Canis lupus familiaris: one gene and its partners. The protein of the gene in region 1 purifies or fractionates together with the protein of each later gene. This does not show direct contact. Links are inferred from orthologs where the notes say so. Each region holds a gene or a part of one and is shown in the gene's direction. Other genes may lie near its edges. The genes, in order: MED9, MED8, MED16, MED23, MED1, MED20 and MED19.

Region 1 (2,450 bases):
ATGCCGGGCATCCACCTGAGTCCTGAGCAGCAGCAGCAACAGCTGCAGAGCCTCCGGGAGCAAGTCAGAACCAAGAATGAACTTCTGCAGAAGTACAAGAGCCTCTGCATGTTTGAGATCCCCAAGGAGTAGATGAGGCCGCCTTCCAGGAATGCCTGAGAAAGAAAAGGGAGACCACGCGTCCTCACTGTCCGCCCCCCCTCCCCCCACACACACACCACCTCAGAGTGTAGATCTTTCAGACTCCAGCTGTGAACTTTGTAACCGAGAGGCCTGGGGGTGGGGGGCTGCTGCTGTAGCTGCTTCTGTAGCTGAACTTGGCATTGACTATGTGAGGAGCCAGCGTGCAGGCTTGGCTTTGTCAGGGCCTCCTTGTAGTGTATATATCCATATGTCTAGATGCATAATAACTTGAGTGCCTGCTGGTGGAAGGAAGAATGTTCCTGGAGGCTGGGGAGGGGGTAGAGGATTCTGCTCCTGCTTCCGGTGAGGGGGCCATCTGCTGTGTATTCAGGCTCCACTGGCAGATCGGGAGAGCACAGGAGGAAAGAAGGTGGCTCCTCTTTGCTTCCTGCCCTCCCTCTTCTCCCACTCTGGGTATGCTCCGTGTGTACCAGGTACATGTTCTGTTAACAGCAGTGTCATGAAACATTTGCATAGAATTCACTGGACAAATTGGAGCTGCACTCATAGGGCATGGATTTCAAGTATTAGAAGAAAACCAGGAAAGCATGAATATTGTTCTGAAGGACTGCAACAGGGTGACTTCCTCCCTCTCCCGCCCCCACTGAAAAACTTTGTTTCCTTTTTATGTTTGAGCCAGTGAATATAATTGGGTCTTTGGGGGTGTCAACCCAGAGCCCTGCAGGCACCTTCTGTCTTAGGTTCTCTGCCACCTACGTGTCCTGTTACTTTTAGCTCTTGCTCCCTTTGTCTCCTGTGCCCTGGAGTCAGCTCATCCAGCCATGTAATGCTCGAGAACGACCAGACCACTTCAGACCCCATGGTGCTTCCCACGGGCTGGAGAGAACCATTGTCTCCACACAGGCTTCCGGGTGAGCGGGCCCTGCCTCTTTTCATTTCAGATTCCTCTTGTCCTGGTTTAAAAAATTAGTCTCCCGTCTGGCCTTCTCACTGAAGAGTCGACCGAACGTTGACTGCACTGCAGAGGTGACCATGATGCACTGTTCAGAGAAGGGTGGCTGCAGTGACCGTTCTGATCACCCATCAGTTCCGAGTCCCTTCTGAAGGATGAAGGAGGGCGACCACCTACAGCCTGGAGTTCTGCAGCCCCACTCTGGTTTCATTAATATTCAGAACGTCCCTCATTTCTGCCAACAGGACTTTTATTTGCGTGCTCTTCGCTTGACTGTCAAACTGACATGACAGCCTCTTAGCCTCTTAAAGACGAGGTGAGAAGTAGTCACATATTGTTTAGATCTAGAAATGGGCACATAACCTGTGCTGAGAAAGCCAGGGGCTTAACAGATGCCCGCCGATTGACCTCGTTGGCAGAGTACTGGTTGGACATGTTAGCAGGGGTTCCATTTGTGCTGCCCCACAGCCACCTGTCAGAAGGTGGTTAGTGCATGGGGCACTGGGACATGTGAAGGGCGGTATTCGGTTTCAGTGGCTTTGGACAGAAGAGCGGGCTCTGAATTGAAGTGGGTAGCCGCCTAGTCAACCACTCCCACCCTGGGACTGTTATATTTAACTGAATCAGTTATGGCCTTGAAATTTCAGGGTAGTGTGGGCCCGTTTTAAGGCTCTGACCAAATAGGAAACACAAAGCATCTAGAAATATAACCAGCGAGGCTTTTCCGCACGGCTAAAACGGATGAGGGCTCTTCCGAGGGCAGAGGGAGATGGAATCTTCCCTGTGTTCCAGGGTTTTGCCTTGTGACATTTTTCGAGAGTATAATTAAAAGAACTTGTACTCTGCTCTCGGGACACCTTGGTTTTTGTACTGAGAAATTCATTATAGGATGTCTCTTGGATAATTGAGAGGAAGATGTTCACTTTGCTTAAGGGGAGACAGAACGTATGGTGAGAACCTCCTCCCTCTCAGCACGCAAATGGCAAAACCACTGTCAAAACCGAGTAAGTGCCCTGAGGAGAGACATCTGTCCCCAAGGACCCCGTTGGCCTGACGGGTCATCCTTCCCAGCTGGGCCTGGCCCTCTGGGCCAGGCCTGGGCTCAGTCCCCAGGGCGCAGTCCTCCATGGAGCAGGGTGGAAATCCCTCCTTGGGACTATACTGAATGCCCCTCCCAGGGTTGAGCACCCTGAGCCACCAATTATTTGCTGGGTGGCAGGTACTTGGAATAAGTACTTATCAAACACCTCACTCCTCACAGTATCCCCACCCAGAGGGTGCTCTGTCTTGTGGATGAAGAATTTGAGGCTTGGCAGGTATCACTTGCCCCAAGCTTGCAGTTACAAGTGGCAGA
Region 2 (4,249 bases), on another chromosome or scaffold:
GTCTCATCACACCAAATCCCCACAAACTGGAGATTTACCATCCTGTGGTTATGTTGTTATACTATAATCACGAAGTTTAAGAACATAAGACCTGGAGCCAGGCCCCCTGTTTGGGATTCCTAGCTCTACTACTTACTAGCTGTGTTACTATGTTGCTTGGTGAGCTCTGTGCCTCAATTTCCCCCAAATGAAAGATGGAGATGATAAAAAGCATCTAGGGATGAGAGCACTAACTGATATTTGCAGTGTCGAGAATGGTGCCTGGCATGCAGTAAGCATTCACTAAGTAATAACTACTATTTATGTCACTATACACATCCTTCACCCTTCCCACCTACTCATATATTCTCTTAGAATACTGGGCACTTCCTTTAGTGATGTTCTTTCCAAATCTGATTTTATGCTCAGATCTTCTAATTTCAAAACTCTGCTACTCCCCAGCTCAGCAGCACTTGGGTAAGGTACTTAACCTTCACTTTTGGGTTTCCTTATCTGCAAATGAGAAATGGATATTGCCACCTCCCTGGCACAAGTTTGAGTAACATCATGTACGTACAAGTTCCTTTCATTAGCACCTAATGGGTGCTCATATGCATTTTCTGGTTTAATGCAGAAGGTCCTCACAACACACCGTAAGGCAGGTATCTTAATGAAGAAGGAAACAGGATCGGGATAGTCAAGACTTGCCCAAAGTTGCACAGACAGCTAAATGGCGACACCAATACTGGGACGAAACTTCACTCTGAGCCAAATGTTTTTTCTTTTCTTTTTTTTCCCACGAAACCAAAGCTGCTCCCTAAGTGCATAAGCGCTACAACTAAGTTAACTCACGCTGTTCACGGCATTCCAATGCCTGCAGAAATGCAAAAACCATCAACGTACTAGTGCCATGTTGCCCACGGAAACTGCGGTAGAAAAATCAAACCTCAGGTTTTGTTAACATCGATATTAAAGACCGAAGAATCCGAGAGCCCTGGAGCCGGGGACGTGTCTGAAATTTCAATAAACAAAACAAAGCGACGGGTTTCTGCTCTAGCCGCCCCCACGACGACACTGCGGGCCGCGGGGAGGAGGCTCAGTCAGTGGTCGGGCCTTTGGGGCCGGGCCGGTCCCTGCGCAGGCTACGCGGCCCGGCCGCCCCCAAACCGGGAGGAGGCCTCCTCCTCGGGGCCCGGGGTCCAGCGCCCTGCGTTGCGCCCGCCCGCCCCTCACCTCCGGCTCCGGGCGCTCCGAGGCCATCACACAGCCCTCCCGCGCCGGCCCGGGCCAGAGAAGATGCTCCACTCTTGACCCTTGACCCGGCTCCCGGAGACCCGCCGGAACCGGAAGTGAGTGGGCGGGCCGCGCTCTCCCTGAGTTTTCTGATTGGGGGACGAGGCCTCTAGAGTGGATCGCCGACTAGGAAACCGGAAGCGGAAGCCGCCGCCGCCGCCGCCGCCGCCGCCGCCATCGCCGCCTTCGCCATCGCCGCCGCCGCTATAGCCGCCATCGCCGCCATCGCCATGCAGGTGAGAGCGGGCTTGGGGCTGTTAACCGCTAGCTAGCTTCAGGTGACAGGACTGAGAATGGGCTGGCCGAGGAGAGAGTGAGGAGTCGGGGCCGACTGGAGGGGCAGAGCGCGTAGCTGACGGGTAAGGGCCCGCGGGGGCGCGGACGACTGGAGCGGTGGGGGTGGGGCCCACCTGGCAAGAGATGGGAGGTTGGGGCCTTGTCGTGGGGAAGGAGGCTGCGTGGACTAGCTGGCGTGCACGGAGGGATCAGGCTACGGTAACTGGGACGGTTGATATGCAATGCAAGGAAGGCAGCTCAAGAAAATGCAAGTTGGCTCCGGCCCCTGCCCAAGCTGTTGGATGTAGACGTGAGGGATCTGGATGGAATTGCAGAGGAGCCCGAGGGATTGGGGGAAGGGGAGGGAGGCCCAGAGCCGAGCTACTTAAAATCTGAGGCTCTGTGAGTGGAGCCCCGGATCCAGGCCCTCCTCATGCCCCTTGGTGAGTTTGCAAGACAGCTCTGCATCATTTCTCCCAGCCTGAGCCTGTTAGTTGTTGAGGATGAAGAAATGGAGTAAAACTGGAGACCACAGACGGGAGGAAACTGCAGACACCCCAGCATTTTAAAATTGTGTCTCTGGCGCCTAGGAGCATGTGCGTTTTGTCTTTGTTTTTCACTTGCCACTTACTTTCTTGCACCTGGTTGGCTGTCAGTAAATGTCTTCAGGCTGAGTGAGCTTGTGGAAGGGACGCAGGAATACGGGCACAGAGATAAAGCGAAGGGCACAGAGATAAAGCGAATGCCGACTAATCCAGCAAGAAGAAGCTTGAAAACTTCAAATGCTGACGCAGATGAGGAGTGGGGGAGGGGCCGTGGGGTACAAGTTTCAGGGAAACCTTAGTTTCCTTCGTTTCCACAAGCATGAGTATGTTTTCCGGAGATTATGTGACTGGCAAGAACTTCCAGGCTCACAAGGCAAGTTCTAGGACAAGAGAAAGACAAAATACTGCAGAGGCACACAAAAGTTAATAAAGCCCAGGGATTATGTCTGAAAAAAATGCCTCAGTGAGAGTGTTTCTATTTTTTTTTTAATTTTATTTATTTATTCATGACAGACACAGAGAGGGAGAGACACAGGCAGAGGGAGAAGCAGGCTCCATGCAGGGAGCCCGACATGGGACTCAATCCTGAGGCCCCAGGATCACGGCCCCTGGGCCAAAGGCAGCACTAAACCGCTGAGCCACGCGGGCTTCCCTGAGAGAGTGTCTAATACAGAGGAAAGCCAGACATGAATTAGCAGACAATGAGGGAAAGGAGGAATTGAGGTCAGGCAAATGGATTGAAAGGTCTAAGAATTGATGCTGTCTGTAACCCAAATACCAAAGATAGAGAACAGCCTGGCTTTCCTGCACCAGTGAGATCCTGGGTTACTTGACTAGTTTTGCATACTGTCATCCCGGCTTTTCAGCCTTCCCTGTATACGACATAGCCACACCTATCTGGGTAACCAACCTGTTCCTATTGGTGCAGAGGGAGGAGAAGCAGCTGGAGGCATCATTAGATGCACTGCTGAGTCAAGTGGCTGATCTGAAGAACTCACTGGGGAGTTTCATATACAAGTTGGAGAACGAGTATGACCGGCTGACCTGGTAAGGGTTGCCAGGGCAAGCTGAGGAGGGCTCCATGGGGTGGGGGTTGAGGGGGCAGGCCTCCTGATTGATAGGACATCTCCAGGGATGTCACAATTTATCACTTTGCAAACATTTTTTTTTCTTTTAAATTTCCAAGTTTGTTTTTTTGTTTTTTGTTTTTAGATTTCATTTATTTATTCATGAGAGACACAGAATGAGAGAGAGGCAGAGACACAGGCAGAGGCAGAAGCAGGCTCCCTGCAGGGAGCCCGACGTGGAACTCGATCTCGGGTCTCCAGGATTACGCCCTGGGCTGAAGGCGGTGCTAAACCACCGAGCTACCCGTGCTGTCCTGCAAACATCTTTTAATTTGAAAAGATCTATGTTTCCCAACATTTAACAAGTGAAGTTTGTCTTAGGGCCACTGTGGCACGGAAATAGAGAAATGCCCAGTTTTCCAACCCAAGTTTTTTCTAGCTTTTGATTGTCACCCTTGACTTCTTTGGGAGGAGGTACTCCGTCAGTGGGTCCTCCCACTATAGTAAGAGTACAGCGTTCATCTCGGGTCTCTTACGATAGATATTGCTGAGTCTTTTAGGTCCAACCTACTCTGGAAGTGTGGATCCTGTTTTCAGGCCTGAAAGATCTCTTTTTGCTCAGTTTATAAATTTTTAATGATAAGCATAGCCATGGTTCTTACTTTGCCACTGGTCTTTTACCCCATTCAAATAATGAGCTGCCTTATTTCTCCATCCATGTTAGAAACTAAAAGCGTGTCCCGTTTTCATAACCCCACAATCCCTGGGATCCAGTCTGGTTCCTGCCCAGTCCAGCTGTAGTGCTCTGAGTCTTTTTCGAGTGAGCCTGGGTATTCCTAGTCTGAAAGACCCCTTCGAGGCTACTTTACTGAGAACATTGTGACACCTTCTTACCACTACCAGGCCGTCTGTCCTGGACAGCTTCGCCTTGCTCTCTGGACAGTTGAACACTTTGAACAAGGTCTTGAAGCATGAAAAGACACCGCTGTTCCGCAACCAGGTCATCATCCCCCTGGTGCTGTCTCCAGACCGTGATGAAGATCTCATGGTAAGAAGAGAAGAAGGGCATAACATGGGAAATTAAATTCT
Region 3 (3,500 bases), on another chromosome or scaffold:
ATGGTGTCCTAGTGTCCATGAGGCCGGCCAGCCCACAGGCCTCTCCTCGCGGTAGGAGCCGTGCTCCTGCAGAGCAGGGGCTGTGTTTGCGGGGACCCCGTGGCCCTCGGGGGACCTGCCGCTTAGCCTGACAACAGGCCCAGTGCCCGGGAACGCCCACAGAGGTAGCGAAGCCCCCAGCTGTTTGGGGAAGCTCTGCTGTGGCAGAGACGGAGCACCCGCGGCTTCCCTGTGCCAGCCTCTGCCTCAGCACCTCTGGGGCTGCCACCTGCCCCCACGGGCTGGACCCGAGGCCCGGAGGGAGCTGGGAGCCTGGGGTCACTGGGTGCAGGGTGGGCTGCAGGTCCGTCCAGCACTCCCCTCCCTGTGCGAGGACGCCGCTGGCTCTGGCCTCACCGGGCACCTCCCTCTCCCGGCAGCTGAGCATGCTCCGCATCTCGCCGTCCATGGGCCACACGCTGGACGTGAGCCTGGCCCTGCGGCACCTGCTCTTCCTGCTGGAGTACTGCATGGTGACCGGCTACGACTGGTGGGACACGCTGCTGCACGTGCAGCCCGGCATGGTGCAGAGCCTGGTGGAGAAGCTGCACGAGGAGTACACGCGCCAGAACGCGGCCCTGCAGCAGGTAGCACACTCGCGGGGCGCGCAGGCCGCTCTCCCTCCCCGTCAGCTCTCCGTCTCCAGCCTTTTCTGTGGGAGATTAGGGCCCGTGGGAAGAGTGGGCCCCACTTGCCCTGCGCAGTCGCCTCCATCCTGCTCTGGGGAGCTGCTTCCCGGGCCCCGTGGGGTGCCCCTGCCCGTTCCCACCACCCGCCGCCCCCCCAGGTCCTGTCCACCCGGATCCTGGCCATGAAGGCCTCCCTGTGCAAGCTGTCGCCCTGCACGGTGGCCCGCGTGTGCGACTATCACGCCAAGCTCTTCCTCGTGGCTGTCAGCTCCACGCTCAAGTCACTCCTGCGCCCTCACTTCCTCAACACACCTGACAAGAGCCCCGGCGACCGGCTGACGGAGGTCTGCACCAAGATCACTGACGCCGGTGGGTCCTGGCCTGCCCGCAGAGAGCAGCCTGTGCCCCGGGGATGCTTGACGCCCCTCAGTGTCCACCGGGCGCCAGGCGCGGGGTGGGCCTGGTCATCACAGGTGGGCAGAGGTGTCCCAGCGTCCACGGGGCTGACCCCAGAGGGATGTGCTGTCCCCACGGGGGCCCAGCGTGGTGGGGGGGTCCCTCTAAGGCCCAGGCCTGGCTCGCCGCCAGGGCTACGGGGCTGGGGATGGGACCAGGCGTCCCCGTGGGCACGGGACACCGCGAGGCCCGGTGGGTGTGGCTGACTGCCCGCATCCTGCAGACATCGACAAGGTCATGATCAACCTGAAGACGGAGGAGTTTGTCCTGGACATGAACACGCTCCAGGCGCTGCAGCAGCTGCTGCAGTGGGTGGGGGACTTCGTGCTCTACTTATTGGCCAGCCTGCCCAACCAGGTGCGGCCCCCAGCTGCGTCCAGGCCCCCCACCCCCGGCGCCGCCACCCCCCCCCCCCCGCTGGCCGCTGCCCCCCGCTCCCTGCCGCACACCTGCCCCAGTCCCAGGCCACGAAGGCCGCCGAGTGCATCTCCCACCTCAGGTTCAAATCCACGGCAGCTGTAGCCATGGTCCCCACATCCCCGCCAAGCCCCACTTTGTCCTTGCACACACATTAGCTGCCGGCGGTAACCACGTGGTGGCCGGGTGCTGGACCTGCTGATTGTTCCGGAATGCCCGGGCCCAGGGCTGCCCTGGTCTGACTCCTGCACGCTCTGAGGGGTCCAGCCCGAGCTCCTCTCCCCACAGGGCTCCCCGCTGCGGCCGGGACACAGCTTCCTGCGGGACGGCACCTCGCTGGGCATGCTGCGCGAGCTGATGGTGGTCATCCGCATCTGGGGTCTGCTGAAGCCCAGCTGCCTGCCCGTGTACACGGCCACCTCGGACACCCAGGATAGCATGTCCCTGCTCTTCCGCCTGCTGACCAAGCTCTGGATCTGCTGTAAGACTGCACTCCTCAGCTCATCCCCCCACCAAAATACAAGTCCTGGCTGACAGCTCCCGTCCCCCACCCCGTCAGACTGTCCTGGCCGCCAGCGCCCAGCACAGATGCTCATGAAGGTCAGCACCTGTTTGCTGGCCTGGTGTCACTGGGCCGCATGTTTCTGGTAGGCTGTTCTCTCGTCCCTGCATCCCTGAGGCCAGGAGGGGTCCCGGCTCTCGCTGTGCGCTCCTGACCCAGGACATAACCCAGGCACCCACTGGTGCCTCCAGGTGGGCAGTGCTCTGGGCAGGGCCGCGGCACGCAGCTCCCCCATGGTCCCCTCCCCGCAGGCCGTGACGAGGGCCCCACGAGCGAGCCGGACGAAGCGCTTGTGGACGAGTGCTGCCTGCTGCCCAGCCAGCTGCTCATTCCCAGCCTGGACTGGCTCCCCGTCAGCGACGGGCTGGTCAGCCGCCTGCAGCCCAAGCAGCCCCTGCGCCTGCACTTCGGCAAGGCGCCCACTCTGCCCACCAGCGCCAGCACCCTGCAGCTGGACGGCCTCATCAGGTGTGTGCCCGCCTCTGCCCCGTGGCCCCTGTGCACCGGGCAGCTGCTGCCCTCTGACCTGTACCCTGACACGGCCTCGAGACCCTTGCTCAGCCGGTCACTCCTCTGCTCCCACCTGTCTCCATCCCTGCCTTGGGTCATCTGTGTGATGTCACCGTCCCTCTGGTCCGTCACTCCTGCGTGACACACTTGCCTCCAGCCCCCCCTCAGGGCTCTAGCATGTACTGCGTGGCCCCCGGTGGACAAACCATTACCCCAGGCGGGCTGTTCCCACAGCCGAGGGGCGGCCTCCAGAGCCGGTCACGGGTAGCTGCTGTTGGATGGTGTGGACTCGGCCCGTGCTGCCCAGTGACGCACGGGCAGGGTTTTATCCCCGCTCTTTAGGCAGGACAGGTGTCCCGACCGTCAGACGAGGCACCTCCTCATTTCAGGCCACCGGGTGGACCGTCGTGCATGAGCTCCCCACGCGGTCTGTGTCTTTGGGTGGAAATGTCAGAAGGCAGCAGCGAGCCAAAGGAAGGAGGGTGGGGCCCTGTGGCCCCTCTGGGTGAAAGGCTTCGAGCACCCAACCCTCTGCATCTTCCTTCTCGTCTCGCGGAGGGAGGACCGGGTTTGCGTTTGAGTTTCAGGAAAAACCTGAACACAGGAGGGGCTGATGGGACCCCCGGGTGGCTCAGCAGATAAGCGTCTCCCTCGGCCCAGGGTGTGACCCCAGGGTCCTGGGATTGAGTCCCACATCAGGTTTCCTGCAGGGAGCTTGCTTCTTCCTCCGTCTGTTTCTGCCTCTTTCTGTCTCTGCGTTTCATGAATAAATGAATGAAATCTTTAAAAAAAAAAAAAAAGGGGGGTTGCTGATCACAGGGAGGTTTTAAACTCATTGTTCTGGAAACGGTTTAACATATCCGATATCTTACATGCCGCCCAGCCCC
Region 4 (3,500 bases), on another chromosome or scaffold:
AGTCAAATTTTATCATTGGCAAAAGATGTGGTCATTTGTTTTCCTTGAAGTAATAGGTTCCCTTTGTTCAAGAAAATGCTGCTTATTGCCCAAGTCTGAATAACTGTAGTTTTTCTGTCAGATGTTCTTTCAAGTAAAAATGGAATTCCATTTAAAAAAAAGAGCTAATTTAATTCGATATTCAGACAATTGCACAAGTACTTTTCCTTTAGATGCCCATCATACTTCAGTGTGTAGCTAGGACACTGCATACTTCCATTTTTATCACAACAAAATTAGATGTATTTAAGGGCTAAGATACAGTCCTTTTCACTACTTCAGGGATATTCTAGAGTAAAACCTGCATTTTCTCCCAACCTGGGCCCCCTCCCACCCCGCCCTGCTGCCTAGTGAGAGTATAGTGAAGATTACAGTGGCTATTAGTATAGTCTGGTGCCACTGTTTGACTTGTTCTGAGGGCCAGCAGTTTTCCCTACCATTACCTTTGCCCCATTGGTACACATATGAACACAGTAAAAAGTTTAGTACTATCTTAGTATTACTATTTTAATAGTTTTGACCTCATCAAATCCTTGGAAGGATATTGGGGACCCACAGAGTCCACAGACCACACTTTGAGAACTGCTGTTTTAAAGAAATAGTTACTGAATTTGCAACCTCAGATACATCTGTGTAAACTGTCTTATTTTACATAAATTAACCCTTTTTTTAAGATTTATTTATGTATTTATTTATTCATGAGAGACACAAAGAGAAGCAGACACAAGCAGAGGGAGAAGCAGGCTCCTTTGCAGGGAACCCGATGCAGGACTCTATCCCAGGACCCCGGGATCACGACCCAAGCCAAAGGCAGACACTCAACCGCTGAGCAACCCAGGTGTCCCAATAAATTAACCTTCTTGATTTAGAGAGTTATAGTCTATAGCTATTTCAACCACTGGAAAAGATATATTTTCTCAATTCTGTTTCCTTGGCTCAATAAAGTGTTGATACCTCATTGTCAGACTGAACTACATGAGCGATCATGGTGGGCCTATGTCACTATTAGATCATTGGTGCTCTGTAACCTTAAAAAAAAAAAAAAAAAGATTACAGAGGCTCCTGAGAGTCTGTTAAATGTCCAACTCTTGATCTCAGCTCAGGTCTTGATCTTAGGATCATGAGTTCAAGGCCCGAGGCATGCTGAGCATGGAGCCTACTTAAAAAAAAAAAATAGATTGAAATGTCTTCTTTTCACTAATTGTGTTCATGTTTACTAATGTAATCATTCAAATCATTCATAAACTAAGAAAATTTAGGTCTAAACTGAATATAACTAGTTAAGCAGTGAGTGTATTGCCATGGAATTCAATGCGTGTACATAACTTTTTCTATGATACCATTTATGAATTATGGGTATGATCATTTATATCTGGATTACCTCTGTTTGTTTATGTTTAGATTTTTTTACAGGCTCTGATTCAATTCAGGGAACTTGGTGTAAAGACATACTTCAGACCATCATGAGTTTTACTCCTCATAATTGGGCATCACACACTCTTAGCTGTTTTCCAGGCCCACTACAGGTAATTTGGTCTTGAATTACATATTGAATATATACAAAATCATTCTTCCATTTAGTATATATGAAATCATTTTTTCCCATTAATTCATTTCTTCCCATTAATTTCCCATTAATTCATTTCTTCCCATTAATTCTAGAAAGCTGGTTTTAGCGATATCCAAAGGAAATTAGCTTCTGTTTCTTTTTTTAAAAACCTGTACTATTCCAAAGTCTCTTGAGTTGTTCCCTGACTTACTCTAGGCCTGGATACGTTCCTAAAAATTTAATTATGGTTTCATGTTATTAGTTAACAATTTTAGAATGTTGTGAGAATTAACACATTACCTGAAAAATTCTTTCTCTTTTTTAGAACTGAAATGGGGAGAGATACAACTTAACAGAGCTTCATAGAATACACATTGTTGCACTTGACTGAATTTTTTTTTTAATCATACAGAGAGAAAAACTACAAACTTGGCTTTTATACTATGGAAAAAGGAAAACCTCATCTGTCCTCTACTTTTCAATTAGCAATAATCGTGCCTCGGATAGACCTCATTGGCTGCAATACTGCCACTGCGCAAAGCTGTCCTCTACTTTTCAGAGAAAAGTTTAAGCATAATGAATATCTGCTTTATAGAACTTCCAACAGGGCTAGGGCAAGTAACTCTCAAACTTGGTAGAATTATCTAGAGGGCTTGATCAGATACAGACTGCTGAACTTCCAAAACAGGAGGTCTGAGACCCATTGGTTTAGTATAATGGATTTTCCTTTTAGAGATACTAAAATCTTTAACCAAAAGGCGCATAATTTCTTTCTTTTTTTTTTTTTTTCTTTTTCCCAAAGACAAACAGAAATATCAACAGATGTTTGAGGAAGCTTTGAATTCAGGCTTGCTTGGAATATCTATTTAGGAAATCTAAGAAAGGAATCTTAGAGATTATCTAGTCAAGCCTGTATATTTTCCCATTATAGAAATTCACACCTTGAAAAAAAAAAAAAAAAAAAAAGAAATTCACACCTTGATTACTTAATTACCTGAGGTCACATAGAGTTTATTAGTGTCAGAATCAAGTCCAGAACTGATTTCTTGACTCTGGCCATTGCTCTTCATTTTAGTATAAAAGTAAACTTTTGATCTTTTTTTTTTAGGCATTCTTCAAGCAGAATAATGTACCTCAGGAAAGCCGTTTTAATCTGAAAAAAAATGTGGAGGAGGAATATAGGAAGTGGAAGTCAATGACCAATGAAAATGACATCATTACCCACTTCTCTATGCAAGGCTCTCCTCCGCTCTTCCTTTGTCTTCTCTGGAAAATGCTCTTGGAAACAGATCATATTAATCAGATTGGCTATAGGTAAGCCAGAAACCTAGATCTGCATTCTATTTAACAAGCTGTTATACCACATAGCAATATAACTTGGTTTTTACTCTCTGCTTTCCAGAGTATTAGAAAGAATTGGAGCCAGGGCCTTGGTAGCCCATGTGAGAACATTTGCAGATTTCTTAGTATATGAGTTCTCTACATCAGCTGGAGGTCAGCAACTCAACAAATGCATTGAAATTCTTAATGACATGGTATGGAAGTATAACATTGTTACATTGGACAGATTGATTCTCTGCTTGGTAAGAATATGCTTATAAGAACAAGTTTCTAAGCTACTTCACTCTCTTTTAGATCATGGTGTGTGATTGATGGATCTTGTGCTGATGATCTATAAGGATTTAAGGCAATTATACTATAATCAAGCATTGTTATCACTTCCCTAAGGAACTAGAGATTTCCCATTGTCTCATTCAGCAAGTGTGTATTAAATATCTGCTGTGTTCTATGCACAGAAAATATAGAAGTAAATAAGGCAGACATGATCTGGCCTTGTGATGCTGTAAAAAGTACAAGCAATTAGGCCCTGAGTTGATTCCCAAAGGCTCTCATTAGAGGCAGGAACTGGTAA
Region 5 (3,500 bases), on another chromosome or scaffold:
TCTGCATATTGAAAAACTCTGGTAGCCCTTCCCAATCTGGAAATATGTAGAGACAGAGGATGGTACTTTTTAAAAAAATTGTGGCGTTAAGTCCATCGCATTGTTGTGTAACCATCACCACCACTATCCATCTTCAGAACCTTTTCATCTTTCTAAGCTGAAGCTCTGTACTTACTAAACAATAACTTCTTTCTCCCTCTCCTCAACTGCTGGTAACCATCATTCTGCTTTCTGTCTGTAAGAATTTGTCTACTCCAGATACTTCATATAAGTGGAATCAAATAGTATCTGTCCTTTTGTGACTAGCTTTTCACATAGCCTACTGTCTTCAGGGTTTATCTATGTTGTAGCATGTATCTGGATTTCCTTTTTTAAAAAAGCTAAATAATTGTATGTACCACATTTTATTTCTACATTCACCCATGAATGGACATTTGGTTTGTTTTCACCTTTAGAAATAATAATGCTGCTGTGAATATTGAATATTTGTTTTTATGTTGGTTTGGTTTTGATATTAATCTTCTTTATTCTAGCATTAGCAGATACAGGTGTCTTTTTGAAGTTAAAGATAACTTGTCCTAATTGAGCAACGCAAAAGGAAGAGGAGAAAGGTCCAACAATTTTTAAAAATAGATTTTTAAAGTAAGGCCCCTTCCCCTCAACATGAGGTTCCAACTCATGACCCCAAAATCAAGAGTTGCATGCTCTACTAACTGAGCCAGCCAGGTGCCCCACCCCTAAATATATCTTTTTTTGGACCCTTACTACTGCCTAGGTCACAACTAAGTCTTACTAATGAACTTGTTCAAATTAACAAGCATTTGAACTATTGAATGTAATGACTTGGAAGGATGGATATACTCTTTCGGATATTTCAGTCTTTGAAGAATAAAATTTAAGTGTTTGGAGCGTTTTGTGATTTCTTTCTTTTTTCTTTTTCTTTTTTTCTTTTCTTTTCTTTTCTTTTCTTTTCTTTTCTTTTTTTTCTTTTCTTTTTTCTTTTTTTCTTTCTCTTTTTTTTTTTTTTTTACCCTTTCCTAGTAACATCTTTACCAGCAATGACTGACCGCTTGGAGTCTATAGCAAGACAGAATGGGTAAGTAGTCTATCACAGGCAGAAGTATTTAACTTAGTGTTGACTTTGGGTGGCTTTATTTATGTGTCTTCTATTAATTTTTGTTTTGATTTGTTCCTGCTAGACTGGGCTCTCATCTCAGTGCCAGTGGCACTGAATGTTACATCACGTCAGATATGTTCTATGTGGAAGTGCAGTTAGATCCTGCAGGACAGCTTTGTGATGTAAAAGTGGCTCACCATGGGGAGAATCCTGTGGTATGTGTTGTTGATATTTCACTGGAATCTGTGGGGTTTACTTAGGGACATTAATTTTAAAATGAATTGTTGGGGTTTGAAATAGCTTGGGTTTAGGTTTTTTCATGAGCCACTGTAGAGATGATGTGATGGGCTATACTATCAGTAGCTCTAGAATTTAGAATAACATGGGTCCATCTCTGACATCATCCAAAGGCTTCGACAAGTGGAGACACTAGAGGAACACTTTCCATTTCATATCAACAAACATGAGCCGCAATTGAACAATAGGTGCTGGGGATACAGAAATAAATAACTTAAAGTTCCTATCCTCAAAGAGCTAATAATCAAGGACAGATAATCTTATACATAGCTAACGTCTCTGAAAAATCCTGTAATAGAGATGAACATTTAATATTTGTAAACAGACAATTGAATATGGACTTAAAGAGAGGTCCTAATGTTTCAAACAAGCTCCTGAAAGTTGATTCCTTTATAAATTATTTCATATATTTTGAGATTTAATTTCCCACCTCAACCCTATGGTTTATTAAGTAGGAAGAAGATGCTTTTTGATATTTTAATGTAAGGATTTTTTGTAGTTTTAATGTTTTTGTTATAAAGCATATGCTCCTAACAAAAGAGAAAAATTTTTGATGTTTTCAGAGGCCTTAAAGTAGTTTAAAGTTTTAATGTGATTTCTTTAATTTCAGAGCTGTCCAGAACTTGTACAGCAGCTAAGGTAAGCAAATGACATTTATATACCCTGATACTGGCACATAATTCTTTGTAGCTAGGCTTGTGTTTTTTTTGTTTTTTTTTTTTTTAAGATTTTATTTATTTACTTGACAGCACAAGTAGGGGGATTGGCAGAGGGAGAAGTGGGCTCCCCACTAAATGGGGAGCCTGATGTGGGGCTTGATTCCAGGACCCTGAGATCACGACCTGAGCCGAAGGCAGACGATTAGCTGACTGGGCCACCCAGACACCCCTATAAGTCAGTCTTGAGGTTGGTCAGAAGTTACTCTCCTGAGGACGCCTGAGTGGCTTAGTGGCTGAGTGGCTGTTTTTGGCTCAAGTCATGTCCTGGGGTCCTAGGATTGAGTTCCGCATCAGGCTCTCTGCGGGGAGCCTGCTTGTCCCTCTGCCTGTATCTCTGCTTCTGTATCTCATGAATAAATAAATAAAATCATTAAAAAAAAAAAGTTACTCTTCTGAGGAACATATTTTTTTTGGATCAGGATTTTCAGCATCTGTATTTGTTCACTTTCAGAATTGACTTAGCTTGGCTTTTTAACCTACTCCATCTATCCCAGGATTTCTCAATCTTAGTAGTATTGACAGTTTGGATTGGAAAATCCTTTGCTCTAGGGGGCTGCCCTGTGCACTGTAGGATGTTTAACTGCATCCTTGATCTCTCGCCACTAGTCAGTATTTCCTGACCCATGACAATCAAAAATATCTCTAGATATCATCACATTTTCCCTGGAGGGCAAAATCATTCCTGGTTGAAAACTACTGACCTAGCTTCAAGAATTCTGTGTGCAACAAAAATAAATAGAACTTAATTATTAAATCAGCTAAGGGTTGAGAAACTTGAGTCTATACATGGAAAGAACTTTTATTCGCTTTGAGAAAAATTGTTTTACATTTAAAGTATTTATGTAATAAACTCCCATCATAGTAAAAATGCTAGACTTAAAAAGTTTCTTAGCAGTTGATGGCATTTCCCTCTGGATTATCCTTTCCTTTTAAATTGAGTGAAAATTTACTTTCTGGGATTTTGAGAAAGTCATTACATTAATTTTATGTCTTAAATATAGCAAAGTTCTCAGATACTTCATGGAAGTGTCTTAAGATGTTAATATTGAGGAAAGTTTTATACTCAGACTTTGCAGTGATCATTTTAATGTATTCATAACCAAAAGCACCAAATTTGAACCACCTTTTAAAAACTGCAATGCAATATGAAAATAGCATTTTTTATGACTTAATTGAATCAATTAAGTCTAGCAAAAGTGTGTTGCTAGAATAGTCCAGAAAGCCAGTATTTCTGGTTCTAATCTAGAGTAGGAGACCACCAATTTACGAACCGGTGGTGTTTTTTTTTTTTTTTTTTTTTTTTTTTTTCCGGTGGTGTTTTAAAGTTAACTTGTAAGCTTACTTTGAAGTGAGAAGCTCAGAAAGAA
Region 6 (4,141 bases), on another chromosome or scaffold:
TTTATTTATTTACAAGAAACACACAGAGAGAGGCAGAGGCATAGGCAGAGGGAGAAGCAGGCTCCCCGCTGGGATCCCGACGCGGGACTCCATCCCAGGACCCCGCGATCCTGCCCAGAGCCCAAGGCAGATGCTCAACCACTGAGACACCCAGGTGTCCCAAAACTATACTTTCATCATGAAATGTATTATTCGAATCGTCAATTTAATTGTCTCTCAGGTTAGACTGTAAGATCTTGAAGTCAGGGTCATGGCTATCTTGCTTCCTTTTTTACTCAAAACCATCTAAACTCCTACCTAGCACAGTGCAAAGTACGGACTAGACAACCTACAAGAATGTACAGAACAGATGGATAAACGTTAGGAGTGCTCAATAGTGTGACCAATTAACTTCTTGTTGGTCTAACTTAGAGACTGCCTAGACGCAAGCATCTAAAGCAACAAGTGGGCATAGAGAGCTCTGACCACCCTGAATCTATTCCAGGGCTGGGTCTCCCATTTCATCACCTTTGCAAGGGTGTGATGCGGACTCCTTATTCAATTTCACTTTTTTTATTCCAAAGGATTCCCCTGGCAGAACCTTTTGGCCGTCTATCTACTTCCCCCTCCCTCCAAAACTAACCACCCTCTTCCTGGCACCCCCCTCCCCCACTTACCCAGACGCGTGGTGCGCTCGCGCGGGGCTGCGGCCTTGTTCCCAGTCCCATGCTCGGTCTCGAGTTCCTCCTGTTGCTGCCGCGCTTGCTGCAAAATCCGTCGGGTCAGCCGGGGCCCCACATACTCTTCGTCCTCCTCTCTGGTCCCACGACCCCGCCGCTTCTCCCGGGGCCCTGCCCGCGCCGCGTCCCCAGCCAGGATTTGCTCAGCCAGCGGCGCATGTTTTTCCTGGCCTGCAGCTCCGCGAGCCGGCTTGAATTTGGGCATTTTTTTCCAGAACTCTGCCAGAAAGGTTTACACGTGGGGTACAGACGAGGAAAAAAAAAAAAAAAAGCCTTGAGCGCACTTGCGCCGTGAAGTCCCAGCTCCCAAGAGGCCCCCGCGGAGCTCACAGCGCCTCCCGGCGTCCGGAGGCCGGGAAGGCCATCAGCGCCGCCACACCCCGTAAGAGCGGGGCCTGGAGCCAGCCGGTCCCCGAATGAACTCACTGCTTCTAACGCTGGCTTCTGCAAGTGGTGGCAGTCCGAGCGGTGGTTTTCTACTTTCATAGATCGAGGACCTCTGTTCCCAGCCAAACGTGGACTTGCCTAGCTGCAAAGCCGGGGCCAGAGTTGGGTAGTGACGTCACTGGAGGCGTCACCGAGGAGATGCCTAGACCTGCCCCTGTTCCTCGTGGGCGCGTCGACTGGACGCTCTCCTTTTGCGTCATTTCCGGAGCACCTCCCTCGGCCGAAGCTTTCGTTAGGGGTCTTCACTTAGTGTGGGCGGCCAGAGACTACTGTGATCCGATTGTTTGTTCCTGCCATCCTCCTGGCCCGATACCATGGGAGTGACTTGGTAGGCCCGCAGGGGACTTTTTTGGGCGGCGCTCGGGGTCGGGAAGGGCCCCGGAGCCCGGAGTGTACCGGGAGGAGGGCCGGGACCAGGGACCGCGGTCCCCCATGAGCTGATGAAGATAAGATATCTTCGGAACGTGTGGGTGATGGAGACGCTGCGAGGGCTGCAGATTCTCCGCGCTTGTTTGCTCGGAGACACTTCCCTTCGTCCTGAAAGGCGGCAGGTGAAAGGTTTTGTCCCAGGAGCCCATCAGTGGTTGTGTTCCTCCTTCCCAGGAGGCCATAGGGCTGCCCGAGGTGGAAATTAAGGATGCCCGAACTAGGACCCAATCTACAGGCGTAGCTAGAGGAGGTAAAGGATAGGCAACGAGGAAACCGTCTTTTTTTAAAGATTTTCTCCTGCCCCTCCCTACAGCCACTTAATGCAGTTAGACCGGCCCGTGTCTGGTTCTGGTGCGGCCGTCTTAAGATTTTCGGTCTAGAGGGAAAAAAAAAAAAAAAATAAGCAGCAGCAGCTGTTGGGAGGTAGATTGGGGTTTAGGCACGTCACCTCTTCAGAATTCGTTTCCTACTATGTTTAATTGTATGGTTGGTGTAACTAATTACTATGGACTTTTAATCTCTCAACATGATATAAGTGGGGTGGCAGAGAAAGGTATGGGCCTAATGCTCTTGGAGAAAATGCTAGATTTTAGGGATTGTTTTGTTTTGAGTACCGGTAAGTATTAGCACGTTTCTAGTTAGGGCTGGAGCCTGTGGGAACCACTCTTTTTTTAAAAAAAAATTTTAATTTATTTATGATAGTCACACACACACACAGAGAGAGAGAGAGAGAGAGAGGCAGAGAGAGGCAGAGAGACATAGGCAGAGGGAGAAGCAGGCTCCATGCGGGGAGCCCGACGTGGGATTCGATCCTGGGTCTCCAGGATTGCACCCTGGGCCAAAGGCAGGCGCTAAACTGCTGCACCACCCAGGGATCCCTGGAGCTAGTCTTTCTGATAGCTCAGGTTCTTGTAGGCTTGTCGGTTACTGCACCTGTGTTTTCTGCAATGGATATTTTAAGCCTTTTCTAAGTTTTCTAGTGTAAGGGAGTGTATGAGGGTTGGAAGGAAAAGCTTGCAGCATAGAGGCTTGGAACCTGAAAGCCCCTGTTCTTTCAGCAGAAGACAGAAAGATGGAATGGGCCCTCAGTCTGTTGGGACCCTTAGCAAGTATATCACACTCCTGGTATTTCGGACCCGTGTAACGTCAGTTTAGATATTCTCTTATGTTTGTCAGTAAAGGCACGTTATCCATTGCTTCTGAGTTCATCTTCTGATGGAGAGTAGGGACAATTTTTAGCAACAGCAGTAGTCCCTCCTTTCCTCCCTCCCTCTGTGGTTGATTGATCATAAAGTAATGTCTTTGAGAATTCAGTAATATGTATGGTTTTTGTTTAGTTAAGTGTACCACCTGAAGTATTTATGAATTTTTTTTTTTTTGAATCTGTTTAGTTTTCTTAGAAGCATTTTAACCGGCAACTACTTGTTTAGGGAAGCAATCTAGTATAGTGAATAAGAACACAGACATGGAACCAGCATGCCTGGCTTTGAATCTTGGCTATACCACACCAAGCTATGTGACTTTGTGCAAGTTACTCAACCTCTTTGTTCTTCAGTTTCCTTACTTATTACAAGGAGATAAATAATAGTCATCTTCTAGGGCCGTTGTGAGGATCCAAATAGTTTATTTGTCTAAAGGCCTTTTGGACACTGCCTGGCACGTGGTTGGTGCTTAATGATTGTTACCTACTACTATTTTTTTTTTTTAAGATTTTATTTATTCATGAGAGACAGAGAAAGAGAGAGAGAGAGAGAGAGAGGCAGAGACACAGAGGGAGAAGCAGGCTCCATGTAGGGAGCCCGACTCGGGACTCGATCCCAGGTGTCCGGATCAGGTCTCGGGTTGAAGGCAGTGCTAAACTGCCGAGCCACCCGGGCTGCCCGTTACCTACTACTCTTAAGGGGAGGTCGGTTTCACTTACCATAGAAGGAATCTTGGAAATAACATTTTTATCTCATTGTTTTGATTTTATTTTTGTACATATCGTTGCCTCTGACTCCTAAAGATTACAGACTTGAGGCTTGCTTTCTCTTTGATCCTAGGGCTGTTGAATAGAATTTTCCATATTGGCGGAAATGTTCCATAACATCACTGTCCAATATACTAGCCTCTGGTCACATGTGGCTATTGAGCCTTTGAAATGGGGTAGTGCAGCTGAGCAGTTGAAGTTTTAATTTAACTTGTTTTATTAGTTTAAGTGTAAATAGCCACATGTGGTTTGTGGCTACTGTACTGGACAACACACCTTCAAAATGTTAGAGAATTGGTAAAAACATACTAACCTCAAACAGATTTTCCTAATTTAGGCAGAACTGAAGGAATTGCAAAGGACATCAGTGTTATGGATTACTCTGTGTGCCACCTAAAACTGCTTGAATGTTGGCACACGTGTCCTGGTTGGAAAATGCTGCTGTGATAGGAAGTTCACTAAGTTGGTAGGAGTGTCCTGAGACCTGTGTTCTAGTTCTTAGTGGAGCTGTTAGGAACTGTGAGCCTCTTATTTCCTCATCTTTAAAATGAGAGAGACGTTCAGGATACATGGTCTC
Region 7 (4,098 bases), on another chromosome or scaffold:
TGTGTGTGTGTGTGTGTGTGTCTCTAATGAATAAATAAATAAAATCTTAAAAAAAAAAATAGGAACTTCTAAACAAGCATGGCTACACTTGAGCTTTTTTTGTCATAGTGTCTGGGAAAGCACAGAGGATGTAGGAAAGCATTAACAAGGGATGGAGGAACAAAATAAGGGAGTGGGTTCTGGTAAAGGTCAAGACTCACTTTGGGGGCTGGGGAAGAAAAAAAAGACGAAAACTCAGGTTGACCCCCCTTCCCTTCCCGCAGAACACACCCGCTGCTGTACAGCAGGGCGCACAGAGCTTCAACTCCTTTTACTCCGCACCTACTCGAGGACAGCAAGTCTCAAGGGAGATTTCTTTACAATTTTGTTTTTACGATTCCTTTTCAGCGGGCCTAACGCCTGTGTTGATGTTTTTGCATCCTCGGAATGCGGCAGCGGGCCTAGCAGGTAACGCGCGCCCTGGGAGTGTTAACTGAATCCAGGAACGGCTGCCAAAGCGTGCAGGGGTGGCTGCGGGTCGCAGTCCCTCACCGGTGGGCTCCCTGGCGACTACGCCGAGGTCAAGCTCTCCATCAGTTAAACGGGGGCACCACGACCCGCCTTGTTTATACCTCACCAGCTCCTCCAGAAGCTTTACATAAAGGGCGGCCCTGTGAAATACTGGACACGTGGCGAGTTTGGGTACGGCCGCTGACCAGCATGAACGGGGCGATGGGAAGAACCCTGCACTCCAGAATCCTAAGAGCCAGGCGGCCGTGCAGGCTAACCCGCTGTCTGCCCATCTCAATGAAGCACGAAGAGGTTTAGGCTCGACGATGCTCCAGGCCCCACATTCTAATAGTCTGTGAGGCCGCGACGGGCTCGGGACCTCGAGGCTCCCGCATGCAACCTCGGGGAGCAGGGACAGTGAAGGTCGCGGGGTCCGCTCACCCAGTCAAAGTCACACGGGTTGCCGTCTTCGCGCTGCGTGGGGAGACTGCTACAGAGAGGGGGCAGCTTCCTCACGAGTAAGAATGCAACAGAAAGCAGGGCTGACAGGAGATAATAAGGTCGGGCCAGCCATCGTGAAAGTCGTGGCACCGAATACACCAGAGCGATTAGAGGTGCCAGGACCGCCATCTTTCCGGCCTTTGCGGCGCCCGCGGAGCTTCGGCGTCTGTAGGTCTGGCCCCGCCCCTTCCACCAGCGAGCCTTCCATTGGGTTTGGCCTCGGATGCACCGCCTCCGCGCCCGGAAGTAGATCTCTGATTGGACGTTGCGGAAGGTAAGGGGCTTTGACGTCTTATTGGCCGACCTAGATGTCGCTTTCTCCACTTAAGTCATTTTATTGGATATGCGGCGGTGGCGCACGGAGACGGCCTTTAGGGGAATCTCTGCAAGTTAGATAGCACTTCCGGAACGTTCTCATAAAGCGACGGAAGTAGCTGCCAGAAAACGGTAGGCGGGGCACCCAATGAAAAGCGGCTCCTAGAGGAAGGGGGCGGGACATCGTGAGAGGATTGTCCAATGAAAACGACCGACGCCAGACACAGGGACCGCGCCGGGGCGGAGGAGACGATGGAGAATTTCTCGGCGCTGTTCGGAGCTCAAGCTGACCCACCACCACCACCAAGCGCGCTCGGCTTCGGACCAGGAAAGCCTCCACCTCCTCCTCCCCCTCCTCCGGGCGGGGGCCCCGGCACGGCCCCGCCGTCCACCGCGGCCACGGCTCCCCCCGGCGCCGACAAGTCGGCGGCTGGCTGCGGTCCCTTCTACCTTATGCGGGAACTGCCAGGTGAGTACTAGGCCTGGCAGAAGGCAGCCAATCGGATCGTACCGAGGAGGCGGTGGGCGTGGCTCTCGGCCAGCCGGGGGAGGTGCGGGGTATCCTAGGCAACGCGTGCCGGGCCTCGGAGCTCCGAGTCGGGAGGGCGCTGAGGACTCGCGACCGAAGGGTTGACATGAATTTTTGGCCTGGTTGGGAAGGGGGAGAGAAGGCCTTTCGGCGACCCATCTTTCACACCGAATCTGGCTCTGTCCCTGATGCTAGCTTATGGTTCCCTGAAAACTCTCCGGGGTTTGAGTTTGGAACTCGAGACGCCTGATTTAACATCCGTGCAGACCTAAGGTTTTCCAGATCTGTCACAGACATGCTCTTGGTTTGAGGCGTGTTGCCGTCTTCCTGAGGGCTTCCGCGTTTCCTCAACTACCCGAAGGAGGGAGGAGACTCGAACCAAAGAATTGTTTTGTTGAGCACCTACCGTGTACCAAAAGCACTGTTCTAAATGCTTAAGATACAGAAGTGACTAGGGCTGACAGGTACCTCTGCCTGTTTTGGAGTTTACATTTCAAAGGAGGCGGCGGCACAGTGCACTAGATAACATCACACAGTGGTTAGTGCTACAAGGAGAAAATGTGATAAAGAGTTGAGGCTTTAGCCAGAGTGATCAAAGAAGCCATCTCCGCGTAGATAATATTTGAGCGTAAAGAGCCAGTCACGTGTGAGTGGGAGAGATAACACGCAAGAAATGAGGTCAGAAGCCCTGGTGTGAGGGAAAACCATGGACTATCCGAGGATCAGAAGACCAGTTGGACTCCAGTGAAGTTTCAAGGGAAGGAGTGATAGGAGATGGAGGGCGTGGGGGAGACAGCCTTTGTAAAGCATTTAGATTTTAAGTTCAGGGGAGCCGTTGTATTTTTAAAAATTTTTTTTTAGTAATCTCTGTACTCAAACTGGGGCTCAAATGCACCACCCGAGATCAGGAGCCACCTGCTGTACCAACTGAGCCAGCCAGATGCCCCTCAGGGGGAGCCATGTTAGCACACAGGAAAGTGACACGATCTGATTTTACTTATTTTTAATTATCCAAACAACTACATTAAGAATGGAAAGTGGGGAAATCAGCCAGAAGTTACTGCATAGTAGTCCCGGAAGGAGATGATGGTTTGGACTAGGCAGTAGCAGTGCAGGAGAGAAGTGAACTGATGCAGGGTAAATGTTAGGGGCAGAGCTTAGAGGAATGAAGGGTTGAATATAGAAGTAGGGAGGAACTTGTGAATTCCTGGCTTGAATAGTTGGGTGGATGGTAGTGCTAAGACCAAGAAGGAACACGTTTGAGGAAATGGAAATCAAGAGTCGCTTTGGACACGTTAAATCTCCAAGTTGCCCCTCAGTTCCTCCCAAGTTCTACTGCTACATCAGGGGTTGAGGGAAATAATAATGCATATTGGCCTGGTGCTTTGAAGTTCACAGTGCAGTTGCAGTTAGGTATGTAATAGAATTTGATACTGAGAATAGCCTCTTGAGATAGGCATGTTACACTTGAATAAAACTAAAGCATAGAGAGGTTGACTCTCCTTTGGTCAGTTAGGGGTTGATGTCTACCAGCACTTTCTCTAACCTTATTTATTCTATTTATAAAATTGTACCTATTTATATCAACCACTTGACAGATGCTACTACCTGTTTGGGGCAAGTATGTAGGAAGGGGGGCACCTGATGAGAAGGAAAAGAATAAATCTAGCCCTTGCTTTTAAGGAGCTTATTTTACATAGGGATATAACATATGTGGTTTAAGGATAGTGACTATAGGGCAGCCCCAGTGGCACAGCGGTTTAGTGCCGCCTGCAGCCCGGGGCGTGATCCTGGAGACCCGGGATCGAGTCCCGTGTGGGGCTCCCTGCATGGAGCCCGCTTCTCCCTCTGCCTGTGTCTCTACCTCTCTCTCTCTCTCTCTCTCTGTCTCTATGAATAAATAAAGTCTTTAAAAAAGAAAGCTTTTTTTAAAAAAAAAGGTTAGTGACTATATTTCTTGTTAAGGCTGATCTCATTACTTCGTGATCATACCTCATATACTATTGAGCACTACATGATGGGGGCCCCTGGGTGGCTCAGTAGGTAGAGCATGCAATTCTTGATCTTGGGGTTGTAAGTTCGAGCCCCACACTGAGAGTAGATGTCTACTTAAAAAAACAAAAAACTACATGTTGGTTTTCAAAATGTGTTCCTTGATCCAAAATGACAGAGTTGTCACTTGAGCCAAACCTTGGAAATTTCATATGGGTGAAGAAAACTTAGAATAACTGTCTTATAATTACATCAATTTTCCTAAGACAAAC

What was found.
Region 2: the proteins of MED9 (region 1) and MED8 purify together in Homo sapiens (affinity purification with mass spectrometry; 5 studies listed by BioGRID and IntAct, with this or other methods). This does not show direct contact. The link is inferred for Canis lupus familiaris from reciprocal best matches to the Homo sapiens genes MED9 and MED8.
Region 3: the proteins of MED9 (region 1) and MED16 purify together in Homo sapiens (affinity purification with mass spectrometry; 5 studies listed by BioGRID and IntAct, with this or other methods). This does not show direct contact. The link is inferred for Canis lupus familiaris from reciprocal best matches to the Homo sapiens genes MED9 and MED16.
Region 4: the proteins of MED9 (region 1) and MED23 purify together in Homo sapiens (co-immunoprecipitation; 3 studies listed by BioGRID and IntAct, with this or other methods). This does not show direct contact. The link is inferred for Canis lupus familiaris from reciprocal best matches to the Homo sapiens genes MED9 and MED23.
Region 5: the proteins of MED9 (region 1) and MED1 purify together in Homo sapiens (affinity purification with mass spectrometry; 8 studies listed by BioGRID and IntAct, counting the BioPlex papers as one, with this or other methods). This does not show direct contact. The link is inferred for Canis lupus familiaris from reciprocal best matches to the Homo sapiens genes MED9 and MED1.
Region 6: the proteins of MED9 (region 1) and MED20 purify together in Homo sapiens (affinity purification with mass spectrometry; 6 studies listed by BioGRID and IntAct, with this or other methods). This does not show direct contact. The link is inferred for Canis lupus familiaris from reciprocal best matches to the Homo sapiens genes MED9 and MED20.
Region 7: the proteins of MED9 (region 1) and MED19 purify together in Homo sapiens (affinity purification with mass spectrometry; 6 studies listed by BioGRID and IntAct, counting the BioPlex papers as one, with this or other methods). This does not show direct contact. The link is inferred for Canis lupus familiaris from reciprocal best matches to the Homo sapiens genes MED9 and MED19.

What each region holds. Positions count from the first base shown.
Region 1 is NC_049226.1:42,179,985-42,182,434, reverse strand, and holds the end of MED9 (mediator of RNA polymerase II transcription subunit 9), read left to right. Parts: coding exon 1-132; 3' UTR 133-1,950; downstream 1,951-2,450.
Region 2 is NC_049236.1:16,880,952-16,885,200, forward strand, and holds the start of MED8 (mediator of RNA polymerase II transcription subunit 8), read left to right. Parts: upstream 1-1,449; 5' UTR 1,450-1,502; coding exon 1,503-1,508; intron 1,509-3,021; coding exon 3,022-3,140; intron 3,141-4,063; coding exon 4,064-4,208; intron 4,209-4,249. Other genes in the region: KICSTOR complex protein SZT2, read right to left, coding at 1,213-1,239. UniProt on the Homo sapiens protein: Component of the Mediator complex, a coactivator involved in the regulated transcription of nearly all RNA polymerase II-dependent genes.
Region 3 is NC_049241.1:58,257,802-58,261,301, forward strand, and holds part of MED16 (mediator of RNA polymerase II transcription subunit 16), read left to right. Parts: intron 1-419; coding exon 420-626; intron 627-826; coding exon 827-1,037; intron 1,038-1,347; coding exon 1,348-1,481; intron 1,482-1,829; coding exon 1,830-2,022; intron 2,023-2,354; coding exon 2,355-2,571; intron 2,572-3,500. UniProt on the Homo sapiens protein: Component of the Mediator complex, a coactivator involved in the regulated transcription of nearly all RNA polymerase II-dependent genes.
Region 4 is NC_049233.1:365,064-368,563, forward strand, and holds part of MED23 (mediator of RNA polymerase II transcription subunit 23), read left to right. Parts: intron 1-1,440; coding exon 1,441-1,565; intron 1,566-1,984; exon of another isoform or gene 1,985-2,131; intron 2,132-2,696; coding exon 2,697-2,902; intron 2,903-2,990; coding exon 2,991-3,171; intron 3,172-3,500. UniProt on the Homo sapiens protein: Required for transcriptional activation subsequent to the assembly of the pre-initiation complex. Component of the Mediator complex, a coactivator involved in the regulated transcription of nearly all RNA polymerase II-dependent genes.
Region 5 is NC_049230.1:22,947,970-22,951,469, forward strand, and holds part of MED1 (mediator of RNA polymerase II transcription subunit 1), read left to right. Parts: intron 1-1,041; coding exon 1,042-1,096; intron 1,097-1,199; coding exon 1,200-1,332; intron 1,333-2,024; coding exon 2,025-2,053; intron 2,054-3,500. UniProt on the Homo sapiens protein: Component of the Mediator complex, a coactivator involved in the regulated transcription of nearly all RNA polymerase II-dependent genes.
Region 6 is NC_049233.1:10,766,670-10,770,810, reverse strand, and holds the start of MED20 (mediator of RNA polymerase II transcription subunit 20), read left to right. Parts: upstream 1-1,341; 5' UTR 1,342-1,480; coding exon 1,481-1,494; intron 1,495-4,141. Other genes in the region: BYSL (bystin), read right to left, coding at 657-924. UniProt on the Homo sapiens protein: Component of the Mediator complex, a coactivator involved in the regulated transcription of nearly all RNA polymerase II-dependent genes.
Region 7 is NC_049239.1:38,957,943-38,962,040, forward strand, and holds the start of MED19 (mediator of RNA polymerase II transcription subunit 19), read left to right. Parts: upstream 1-1,298; 5' UTR 1,299-1,506; coding exon 1,507-1,774; intron 1,775-4,098. Other genes in the region: TMX2 (thioredoxin-related transmembrane protein 2), read right to left, coding at 931-1,119. UniProt on the Homo sapiens protein: Component of the Mediator complex, a coactivator involved in the regulated transcription of nearly all RNA polymerase II-dependent genes.